Linked DNA regions of Caenorhabditis elegans. The protein of the gene in region 1 purifies or fractionates together with the protein of each later gene. This does not show direct contact. Each region holds a gene or a part of one and is shown on either strand. Other genes may lie near its edges. The genes, in order: sas-5 and sas-4.

Region 1 (4,528 bases):
TTTCTGTAGATAAATGGGTTAAATGTTTTTTTTTTTTTAAATTAAATTTTTAAAAGAAAATCCTGATAAAACTGTGGTATCAGTGTTTAGAGAGAAATGGGAAAAATCGCAGAGTTTATAAATGGGGAGAGTACAATGGAACAGTTGAAGTCCAAACATCTGGGTGCTCTCTCGAACTTTTTGAAAATGCCAAAAAACAAATTTGCAAAGATGAACAAGACACACCTAATCTTTTATATTTTCTAATTTTCCACCTACTCTCTATAAATAATCAATGTCAATATTTACTAGATTTTGACAAAAGAAATTCAAAAAATTCGGGTGCAAAAGTCAACAGGAAGAGAAATCAAAAATAGAGAAAGGTAGTGATAGTTCAAAACGCTTGCTTGCATATGGAAAATCAAGTGAAAGTGTATCTTTTCAATTGGAAAGTCTGAAGACAGCAAGTGTTTTAATACAGGAACACATGTGTACATGCCATAACAGTTTGTTTTAAAAGTTATGAACTTGTAGTTTAAAAATTCGTAGAACTTCTCCAATTAACACGTACACTACTAGAATTTTCATTTTTATTTCGTACACAAATGAAACTCTTGAAGGAGACCGATGGAAAGGTCAAGTTGGTACTTGTCAAACAATGACAGAAGTGTGAAGTGCTGAAAATCGAATTAAGTTCGAGACTATCTCGATCATATGATCAAATGAGAAAGAATCGATGAAATTCAAAATTTATTCAGGTCACAGCTGGAAGTAATGGTTTTAGTACAATTCACAGACATTACACGTAGTGATTAATGATAATTTTAAAACGTCAAGAGTTAAACACATTTGATATCATTTCCTGCGAGCGTATTTTTCACGAATACGGCGTTCTCGTTCAGCTGGAGTCTCAGGTACCGCTTGCTCGTGATAGTTCTGTCCCCGTTTATTGACTACAACATCCTCTTCATGATCTGATGAATCTTCCACGTAGTATCCAGTTCGATTGTTTCTAGCTGTCGTTTTTCCAGCTGCTTCTGACGGATAATAGCTAATACTTTGACCCTTTTGATAGAGTGAGTGACATGGTTGATCCGGTTCGTAGGTACGGTATGAGTCAGGAGCTAGAAAAGGTTTTTTTGAATAGTGAAGAGACTTCTCATTTTTGACTTTTAATTCAAATTTTTCAACTGATTTGAGGATTTCATCTTAAAATCATTTCGTAGTATAAAGTGTTTTCACTACGAATGGTTATCAACTTTCAAACATTTTTAATGAATTATTTGATACATTTTGGAATGCGTGAATTATTATATTTATACAATTCTAGCGGACGAATTCTGTGTTTGAATATTGAAAAATTAAATTACCACGATTATCACGTCTCTCATTTGTCCACTGTCTAGAATCAATAGAAGCGAGTCCGTTGTCATATCGAATACTTCGTTCTACCGTAAGTGTTTCTCTCATCAAAGCAGGATTCACACCAGATCCGTATCTAACTTCAGACATTGGTGGTGGTGGAGAATATGCAGCTCTGTTAGCATCACATTCAGCCTGAAAACAAACTATTTCTATCGGATTTAAATACACTACTCACGTCTGCTAGAACATTATCAATTTGTTGGCGAAACATTGGGTCCGAGCGAAGGCGTTGCTCAATAATTGTTAATGCTTCTGGAGGTATAACACCGTCTCTTTTGATAACTTCTCGTGCCGAAGCGATCTTAAAACGGAGTACTTTTTGATTTATTTTTTATCTGAATTCTCACTTTACTAGCTGGCTTCTGCTGTCTTGATTGACGAGGACTCTCATGAAAATTTTCTTTGTCTTTTTCAACTGGTTCGATCGCTTGCTGTTTAGGAATCGTTATCTCTGAAAAATTATTATTTATTGAATTTATGGGATAATATATATTCAAACATACTCTGAAAGAAGTTTGACATCAATTCTTGCATTTTAACAAGATTTTGAGCATTGAGCTCTTCTTGTCGCCGGGCCGTTTCTTCTTGAATCTCTGTTCGTATCGTTTGCAGTTCTGTTTTCATAGCGTCCCGCCAGTTTTCAGCTGCCTGTTCTTCAGTCGTTGTCGTATTTTGGGCAGACATTGTTGAAGCAAGCACTTTTTTTGAATTCCGAGATGTTCCCTGAAAGATAATTTAGTGGAATTATGCCATGGAACAATTTTAATTTAATTACCTCGACAGTTTGGGAAACGTTAACTGTTTTTCCAAACGCAACTGTTTTTTGGCGAAGCGCTGGATGCGAAGGTGGCTCTTTTCTTGGTTTCGGAGCCGAAAGACACGATTTTTTCTTGGCTACTTCTACAGCGGCGACAATTGGCTGCGTAGATGGTACTGGGGGTTTTGTCCTTTCTTGTGGAAGCTGAAGAACTTCTTGAAAGGCAGGGACTTCAGAATCTTCGAAGACTCTCGGTTGATCCACAAACTCCTGGACTAAATTGGCAATTTTAACACTTTTATATCGAAAACAACTCACCAGTTGGTTTTTTGAAGTAAATAGAGCAGGGTAAGTCGTCGTAATTATTCATTCCCGCTTAATGCGAGGTCATTTCTGTTAAAACTATGAAATTGGAAAATAAAACGTTTTTTCTTTAAAATTGGCGCGTTGGTGTCGCGGGGGCGTGGCCTCTGCTGCAACCCCCGCGCACATTTTTTGCAAGATGAGCGCGCACATTGTATATTTTCTCACATTTCTTTTCGCATGACCATTCGGGGACGAAAGAAGATTGTAATTAAATTAAATGATATTATTATAAAACAACAGAATTTTCTACTTTCTCATATTATCTGCAATTTAGAAGAATGTTCCTGATCAGTTGAACAAATTTAGATTGACAGATTTTCAAACAAAAAATCTTCTCAACCTACACAATTTTCCAATGTATTAAAAGTATTAAAAAACAAGTAAACACTCCCGACTGGTTTTCTAAAAATTCCGAGAAAATTTTTCCTCTGTACACAGATAGACAGCGAGACACAGAAAAAGTGTCTCAAAATAAATCAGCGTGGTAAAAAAGTCAGTGCGAAGGAGCCAACAGTATATGTACATTATACACACAATGTTTGCTCCGTGGGGTCAGATCAAAACTGGAATTTGGATTTGACTGTTGGTGGTGTTGCACGGTAGCAAGAGCTTACACGATTGCCAGTACAATAGTTTAAAGGGGCGGGAATCTCGATGGCCTATTTAAAAGAAATCCAGAACTCGAGTACAACATTTTCACGTGGCAAAACTAAAATGGCACTTAGATTGGCTGTGGTGAGTTTTAAAATCCTTTTAATTATGAGGTTTGAAACTTAGTTAAATTAAAAACTACTAAATCCAGAAATAGATCTACTTTAGATCTACATACGACTTTCAGTTAATTTAAATGTAATTATTATTTAGATTCTCTCCCTATTGTCTTTCACTGCGGCTCAATCGACTTCTGTTGACTGTTTTGCTGCACGGGACTCTGGAAATACTTGCGCTGAGAACAGTTCTTCTAGAATGTTCTATTATCTTCCAAGACTTGGAACGTGTCAACCATTCATGTATCAGGGATGTGGTGGTAATAGTAACCGGTTCAGTAGTGCACAAGAGTGTAGATCAGCTTGTACCAATGCTCAAGCTCAAAGAGACTCGGAGTCAAGTGATGAAACCGTTCAAATGAAGTGTAAGTGAGGTTAGCTAGTAACTATGGCAATTATTCTAAAAATTTTAAGCTGCTTGCTCTGCTACCTATGACACTGACCACTTGACACCAGTGAGATGCTCAGCAGGAGCTAATACTTGCCCACAGGGTCATAACTGTATTCAATCATTCTGTTGTCCAACATCCAGTAAGCATCAAATGTTTAAATGTTTTATTCTTAAATTTCAAATTCACAGACTATCTTTGCAACTTGACATATGACTCTGGAAAGTTTGCTGTCGGAGGAGAGAAAAGTGACAAATACTTCTGGGTTCCAAAATACACAACTTGCATGCGTTTCTCATTCTATGGAACTCTCGGAAATGCCAACAACTTCCCCAACTACAACTCATGTATGGCAACCTGTGGAAATCAAACAAGAACTTCCCAATAAGACGATATTTGAATTCCTGGAATTATCTGTATTATGAAAAACAAGTTATTTTTAAGAGTTGGCATTTTTGTAGTTTTTTTTCGGGTAATTTTCAAAGTATGATTTAACTGTATTATCATCCACTCATAAACAATTTTTATCTCATTTCTTTTAAATATTTTTTATATAATCTAAAAAATAATTTTGAATGTGATGCAAAAATAATAATTTATATACATTAAGGCAACGTTTTTCCTTTTGGGAACTACAAAACTTCAGTTATATTTATCCTGTAATTTGTCTCCATGTCAAGAGTATGGTTTTCAATCAAAGTACAACCAGGTTCGTTTATTATTCAGCCCTAGTTTAAAGTAAAATCTATCACTAAAAATAATACCCCATTTTCTCTAATAGTATTGCGACCCACACCTATAATATCAAACTCACATCTATAACCAGTAAAAAATTTTACAGAAAA
Region 2 (6,693 bases), on another chromosome or scaffold:
TATATTTTACAAATAGTTATCTGCAAGTATCTACCCATTGACATCCTTATTTAACTCATTTCTTCTTTTTTCTTCTTACAATAATAATAATGTGTTCAGGATGGTCACAGTGATACCAAAAATAATAAGTTCTCCATATCCTCGGACACGCCTACCACTGTACCTCTACACTGTTTCCATCGTAAGAATTACCAATCAATAGAAAATTCAAGTTTACACCTATAATTCTAGATTATTTCCTGCTCTTTATTATACTGGAATCTTCTTTACTGCAAAAATTATGACTGTGTCGTTGAGAAGGAATTTCGATGGGGAAGTACTCGGCACTTACTACAGGTATCATACAATTTGGTACCATAAAGAAATGACATAACTTTCAGTACTTTCCGGTGATAGCAGCTCCGATTATAATGGTAATATCGTTTTCTTGGTTAATAATTGCAATATATTATTCAAGTAGTTCATGTGTTCTTACATTCAATTTTATGGTAAGTTTTATAGGAAGGAGGAATAAAATAAATATTGAAATTAAAGGAAATGCCATCTGCAGTACTTTGTTCTCTACTTGGTGGTATTAGTTCTGTAATAGAAATTCATTTTTCCATTGAAGTAAATCAAGTTCAATGGACTGATCAGTGGTTACTGTCATCTGTGGGTTTACCAATCAACGATTGTTTAAAAATCGATATTTTCAGGGATCTTCAATACTTTTATGCCTTTTACATGCTACAATTGCGTTCACACTTCAATAATCCTTCCAACATATTTGAATTTCCAATCTTCTTCAAATCGATGTGAAAAAACTTGTATCATTGTTTTTATCAAATATGAAACATTTTATAGGAATCAAAAATATTATGTGAACTGTGATATTTACTCTTGCTCAATTCATTTCATGTAAATATTATTTTGATACTCATTACTGGCATAAATTATATTTTCGAAATTCATGTCACGAGCGCGGATGATGAGGGACAATTCGAATTAATTCTCTTTTTCTCAACAAAAACAATTAAATTTTGAACCTCCCTCCGTTTTCTTTGAAAATGGCCTAGAATTGTGATGGCCGTGGACTAGCATTTTCCCTAGCACGACGGCGGGAATTGTCTGCGTCATCTTCGTCTTGCACGCTCTCTCGTTACCCCCCGCTGTGGTTATTATACCGTTTACCACCTTAATCCCTTCAAAACGCTTTTATAATTTCACATAATCTCTTCTTAGAAATCTCAATCGTTTATTCAGATGGGAAATCGATCAAAGACAGACAATGCAACTGCCGTGGCATCGCAACCACCCAAAAAAGTTAAATCGTAAGTTTTCTTTCCTATTTTCAAAACTAATATATCTGAAATCATCAACATTTTTAGGAAAAAGCAAAAGAAAATGAGCTTTTCACAAGCACAAGACGTATATCTTCGTCTGAAGCAAGAAAAAGAAGAGGAGAAACAACGAGAGCGAGCCGAACGAGAAAAGCGAAATGAGACGATTGCAGCGACAAATAAATCAAGAAAGAAGATGAATCAGGCATTGGCAAAAAGAAATAAAAAAGGACAACCAAATCTGAATGCTCAAATGGATGTACTTCTCGAGAGGATACAGAAAAGAGTGGATAAGGAGAAAAAGGAGAAGAAATGAACTAATTGTTTTGTCTTTTATATTTTCAGATTTTTTTTGTTGAAATGAAATTGTTGTGTTTTTAAAAATCGATAGTTTTATCGTTTCTTCGTTTCTTACCGATAGTATACTTTATTTTCTGAAATATAATTCAATTATTTATTAAAAACCTTTTCAGCCTTCAGATGGCTTCCGATGAAAATATCGGTGCCGACGGTGAACAGAAGCCTTCTCGGCCGTTTTTGAGAAAAGGACAAGGAACAGCAAGATTTAGAATGGTAGTTTGTGCAAATACAAGGCTTATCGAAATAATATATGAAGTTCAGCCTAGAAACAACAAAACATCTGCTGGTGCACCTCCAACGTCGGAACTTTCATCTGCTTCAAGTCCTTCTATTAATGTTCCTAGGTTTAGTCTGTCGGTAAGTAAAATATCTTAAATACAAACGTTATAAAACTGTGGTGACTAGTTAAATATAAATATTAAGTAGAATTATTCCAGAATGCTCTCCCGAACTCTGCCCGAACCGTGGACAGTGGAATATCAAATGAAGACGAGACCCGTCCACCAACCACCGCATCTCTTCCAATGGATCAACCATCATTGTCATCTTCGCCGGAAAATCGTCTAAATCCCGCACCTTCCGTTGCTGAAGAGCATGGCCACAGTGGACAGCACGCTGAAGAAGAAGAAGACAATGACACGGATGAAGTATCTGCAATGCCTTCTTTTGTGCCTGATGAACCTTCGACTCTTGTTAATTCAGATCATGAATTGTCTGATGATGCTTTAAAGTATAAAAATGCAGCTGCCGAATTCAAAGCTTTTGAGAGAAGAATGGATTCGGTAAGAACAGCCAAATCAGAATGATAATTGAAATTTTACATAGAATAGATTTACGTATCAAAAATCAAAACCTACGAATACTCTCTAATTCAAAATTTAATTAATTAAAATTAAAGATGAGATCAGCTTCAACAATCACAACATCACTGGCAACGCCATCATCTTGTGCACCATCAAACTCCTCTGAGCCTCCTACTCGGTCTACACCAATTATGAACGATTTAGGCGTTGGCCCAAATAATCACAATTGGCCGTCTTCAATGCAAGAATTATCAGGAATTTCTCTGGAAACACCACAGGCTCGACCGCTTGGCAGCAATAGAATTAATCAGCTTGGTAGGTTAATAACAAAAAAAACATGATTGATTAGATTTTTAGTTCGAAGTGAGGCTCAAACGGGAATAAGCCTTTTACAACACCATGAAAGACCTACTGTGACCGCCCCATTGAGACGAAATGATATGATGAACTCATCACGACAGAATCCACAGAATGGAAATGTTCAAGATGAAAATCGACCCGAGCACGTTTATGATCAACCAATACATGTTCCTGGATCATCACTGGACCGACAGAAACTTGAAATTGAAATTCGACGTCATCGTAACTTGAACATACAACTGAGAGACACTATTGCTCACTTGGATTATGCAGAAGAATCCGTGCACACCACAAAACGACAGCTCGAAGAAAAAATTTCCGAAGTCAATAATTTTAAGAAAGAACTGATAGAAGAATTTAAGAAATGCAAAAAAGGAGTTGAGGAAGAATTTGAGAAGAAGTTTGAGAAAATTAAGGAAGATTATGATGAACTTTACGAGAAATTGAAGAGGGATCAACGAGATCTTGAACGAGATCAGAAGATATTGAAGAAAGGAACGGGAGAAAGGAATAAAGAATTCACAGAAACGGTAATTAAGAATTTAAGCAAGAAATAGTTATTCGAGAAAAACCACGAAATTTCGATTGAAAATTTTTCTCAAAGCAAAATCTAAAATTTTCATTGAAATAAATTGAGAATTTAAAAAGTTGAAATTCTATTATAAAACCTTTAATTTAAAATCCAGCAAAACTTGTCAAATTTCAGATAGCCACTCTCCGCGACAAATTAAGAGCATCAGAAACCAAGAATGCACAATATCGACAGGATATACGTGTTCGAGACGAAAAGCTCAAGAAAAAAGACGAGGAAATCGAGAAGCTTCAGAAAGACGGAAACCGGCTAAAGAGCACTCTACAGACTTTAGAAAAGCGCGTAAAACAATTACGTACTGAAAAAGAACGCGACGATAAAGAAAAGGAGATGTTCGCGAAGGTTGCAATGAATCGAAAAACTTCGAATCCAGTGCCACCAGTTTTGAATCAAAGTGTTCCAATTTCGATAACATCAAATGGTCCATCTAGACATCCATCATCATCTTCGTTGACAACATTTAGAAAACCATCTACATCAAATCGAGAAAGAGGTGTTAGTTGGGCAGATGAACCAAATGAACAATCATTGGAAGCTGTACCACAGGAGTTTTTGATGGTAATATTTAGATCAAAGCAGGGTTTTTTTAAAATTGTTTTTAGAATATTGCTCTGAAAAAATCAATTCAAAAAAAATTTCAAATTATTTTTTCTTCCCGACTAAAAAATTAATATTTTTGAAAAATAGTTTTTTAAGTCTAAAAATTTACAGCTTACTATTAGCATTTGCCGAAAGTTCCGATTTTTCAAAATTCCCAGAATTAAAAATCAATAGTTTTCGAGTTACCGAAAATTGTCAAAAAAAAATTTTAAATCATGCTTTTTGAAGATGCCAGTCAAAGAAATGCCGGGAAAATTTGGAAAATGCACGATCTACAGAGATTCTCTTGGAGAAACATCTAAAGTGACGGATACAATAGCTAACGGTCTTCTTTTCGAATATTCCAATGGAGATCTTCGATGGGTTAATCGGCAGAACGCTGTTAATGTAAGTTTTAATTGGAATTTTGTCAATTAAAGTGACCAATTTACAGATCTACATATCCGCAGTTGATAAAACAGTCAGAATTGATCTCCCCACATACAATATTTCAATTATTCATACATTTCAAAGGCAAGTTGAAGTACTTCGTCCTGGAAATAACATAACATTGATAAGTATTAAACGACGAGAAGTTCGAACTGATTTGATTTATCAAAACGGAATGTATAAAACTGAAATGTAAGATTATTTTCTTTTTTAAAGTTCATCGGAAATTTCGTATTTCAGCTTCAATAGGGACGGAAGATATGTTACGAAGGATTTTAGCAATCAAGAAGTTTCGAGAAAGTGAGTCTCTATTCATTTTCCAATTAATTATTCAGAAAAACCATTAAAATCTCAAAACTATTACCCAGATGTTTAATTTAATTTAATTTAATTTATTACGATAGAAGATATCGTTAGGTAGAAAAAAAAACACACACACATTAATAGATACAAACCATCACAAGTGGTTACATAAATAAATTACATAAATAAAACGAAACAAAAATAAAAAAAGAGATGTGACATTTTGCGGCAAAAAATGTCTCGGCACGATAAAATTTAGTTAAATGGGAAAAGGCGTGCGCCTTTAAATATTACTGTAGTTTAAAAATCGCGTTACTGTCGAATTGTTGTTTGCCCCTTTTTTTTTTGATAAAAACATGTTTATTAGTTTAGAAAAAAGATAAATAAACCAAACTACAACAGTCTTTATAGGCGCACGTATTTTCACATTTAAAAATCTGTCCTTTAACGAAAAAATTGTAAAATTTGGCGCCTTCAAAGAGTACTGTAATTTCAAACTCAATTTGAAACAGAATTTTCATCGATTTTCCTTAGTTAGTTTTTCGATGAATTTTAATTTATTCATTAAAAAAACTCAAATAAGTATAACGATATTTTAGCAAATAATATATTTTCAAACAAAACATGTTTCTATAATTTTTGTCTAACCCAAAATTTAGGAATATGACCTCAATTCTTCAAAAAGTTAGTAAAACAGGTTTAAAACCCCGTTATAAATATTTTTGCCTCTGAAACCTATCAAATTTTCAGATACAATCCCGGTACACACACATATCGCGACAATCAATGTCGCTACGTTCTCGTCACTGATTACAACGATTTTGAGCTCGTTGAGCCAGAATTCCGTCTTCGTTGGTATCAGGGAGATCCGACTGGTCTCAACAATCAGTATATTCTCAAGATCATTGGACGACCTGAATGCAGCGAGAAAACATTGAGACTTGAAGTGAATCTTTCCACGTGTGAAGGTACATTGGAAACTGCAGAGATGATAGGCGATAAACGTCGGAAAACAACTTTGTTCCAGTGGAAAAAATGAGAAATTCCAACCCCTTTATTTTAACTTGTGGTTTGTATATCTATTCCATTGACATTATTTTTCACTCCTGAGTGCTCTAAAATTATAATTAATTCTACCTCCTGTAAAATCATATCAAATAATTCAATCATTTTTTACTATCTCAATTTTCACTTGCCCCCTCCCCCATTTCTTTCATATTGATCTTCATGGTTATTTTATTGACTGTTATAAACAATTTTAACTTTAAATGTTCTGCACAAAATTCGGGATTCAGATTGCAAAGATTTATTGGAACACTGGAGACATTTCAAGATGATCTCGGATCTTCTGCACGACTCGACGGACTCAAACTTTGAACATTTTCGTGTGAGATTTTCTTTTCTTTTTCCGCACTTTTCTTCTCTTTCTTCTCCTCACCACTTCCATCTTTCTTCTGATCATCTACATCCAGGAGCAGCATCTTGTGACGTGTAATCTTTAGATCACTGAGACGAGTTTTCGAATCGCCGACTTCAAGAGGAGCCTACAATCATCCTTATCTTTTTATATTCAGAATATCAAAAAACTAACCGGGTCACCTCGACCAGAAAACTCGCCTTCGCCTTCTTCACTCGATGATTTCTGAGTTCTCAGAGTAATCATATGGGTCTTACCGCTGACACCAAGAAGCGTGTAGAGTCGAGCCATCAGATCGTCTGAACGATATAATTGTTTAAAAATCTTAGATTCTTAAGCTTACGATAAGTGGCATCCGTTGGAAGGCTGACAACGACTGGCTTTGAAAGGTACAAAAAGTACCAAAGACGTTGATCCGGAACCTTCTTATGTCGACGAGTCCTTCCACTTTTTGATTTGTTCACAGATCCTTTCCGAGTAGCACGAGTACTTCCTCGAATCTTTCCACGT

The links.
Region 2: the proteins of sas-5 (region 1) and sas-4 purify together in Caenorhabditis elegans (affinity purification with western blotting, with the first as the bait; one study listed by BioGRID). This does not show direct contact.

What each region holds. Positions count from the first base shown.
Region 1 is NC_003283.11:11,608,782-11,613,309, reverse strand, and holds sas-5 (Spindle assembly abnormal protein 5), read right to left. Parts: upstream 2,574-4,528; 5' UTR 2,532-2,573; coding exon 2,480-2,531; intron 2,437-2,479; coding exon 2,180-2,436; intron 2,128-2,179; coding exon 1,908-2,127; intron 1,856-1,907; coding exon 1,752-1,855; intron 1,706-1,751; coding exon 1,580-1,705; intron 1,537-1,579; coding exon 1,350-1,536; intron 1,104-1,349; coding exon 835-1,103; 3' UTR 714-834; downstream 1-713. Other genes in the region: tag-290 (BPTI/Kunitz inhibitor domain-containing protein), read right to left, coding at 1-1; piit-1 (BPTI/Kunitz inhibitor domain-containing protein), read left to right, coding at 3,242-3,262, 3,392-3,659, 3,709-3,825, 3,875-4,071.
Region 2 is NC_003281.10:8,313,688-8,320,380, reverse strand, and holds sas-4 (Spindle assembly abnormal protein 4), read left to right. Parts: upstream 1-1,792; 5' UTR 1,793-1,799; coding exon 1,800-1,892; intron 1,893-1,940; coding exon 1,941-2,036; intron 2,037-2,116; coding exon 2,117-2,461; intron 2,462-2,577; coding exon 2,578-2,797; intron 2,798-2,839; coding exon 2,840-3,372; intron 3,373-3,548; coding exon 3,549-3,992; intron 3,993-4,262; coding exon 4,263-4,421; intron 4,422-4,467; coding exon 4,468-4,655; intron 4,656-4,703; coding exon 4,704-4,763; intron 4,764-5,516; coding exon 5,517-5,805; 3' UTR 5,806-6,032; downstream 6,033-6,693. Other genes in the region: F10E9.10 (uncharacterized protein), read left to right, coding at 101-181, 232-336, 381-488, 535-651, 696-752; F10E9.11 (rRNA-processing protein FYV7), read left to right, coding at 1,243-1,310, 1,368-1,635; F10E9.2 (uncharacterized protein), read right to left, coding at 6,095-6,310, 6,358-6,482, 6,527-6,693. UniProt on the Caenorhabditis elegans protein: Required for centrosome duplication. Plays a central role in determining centrosome size.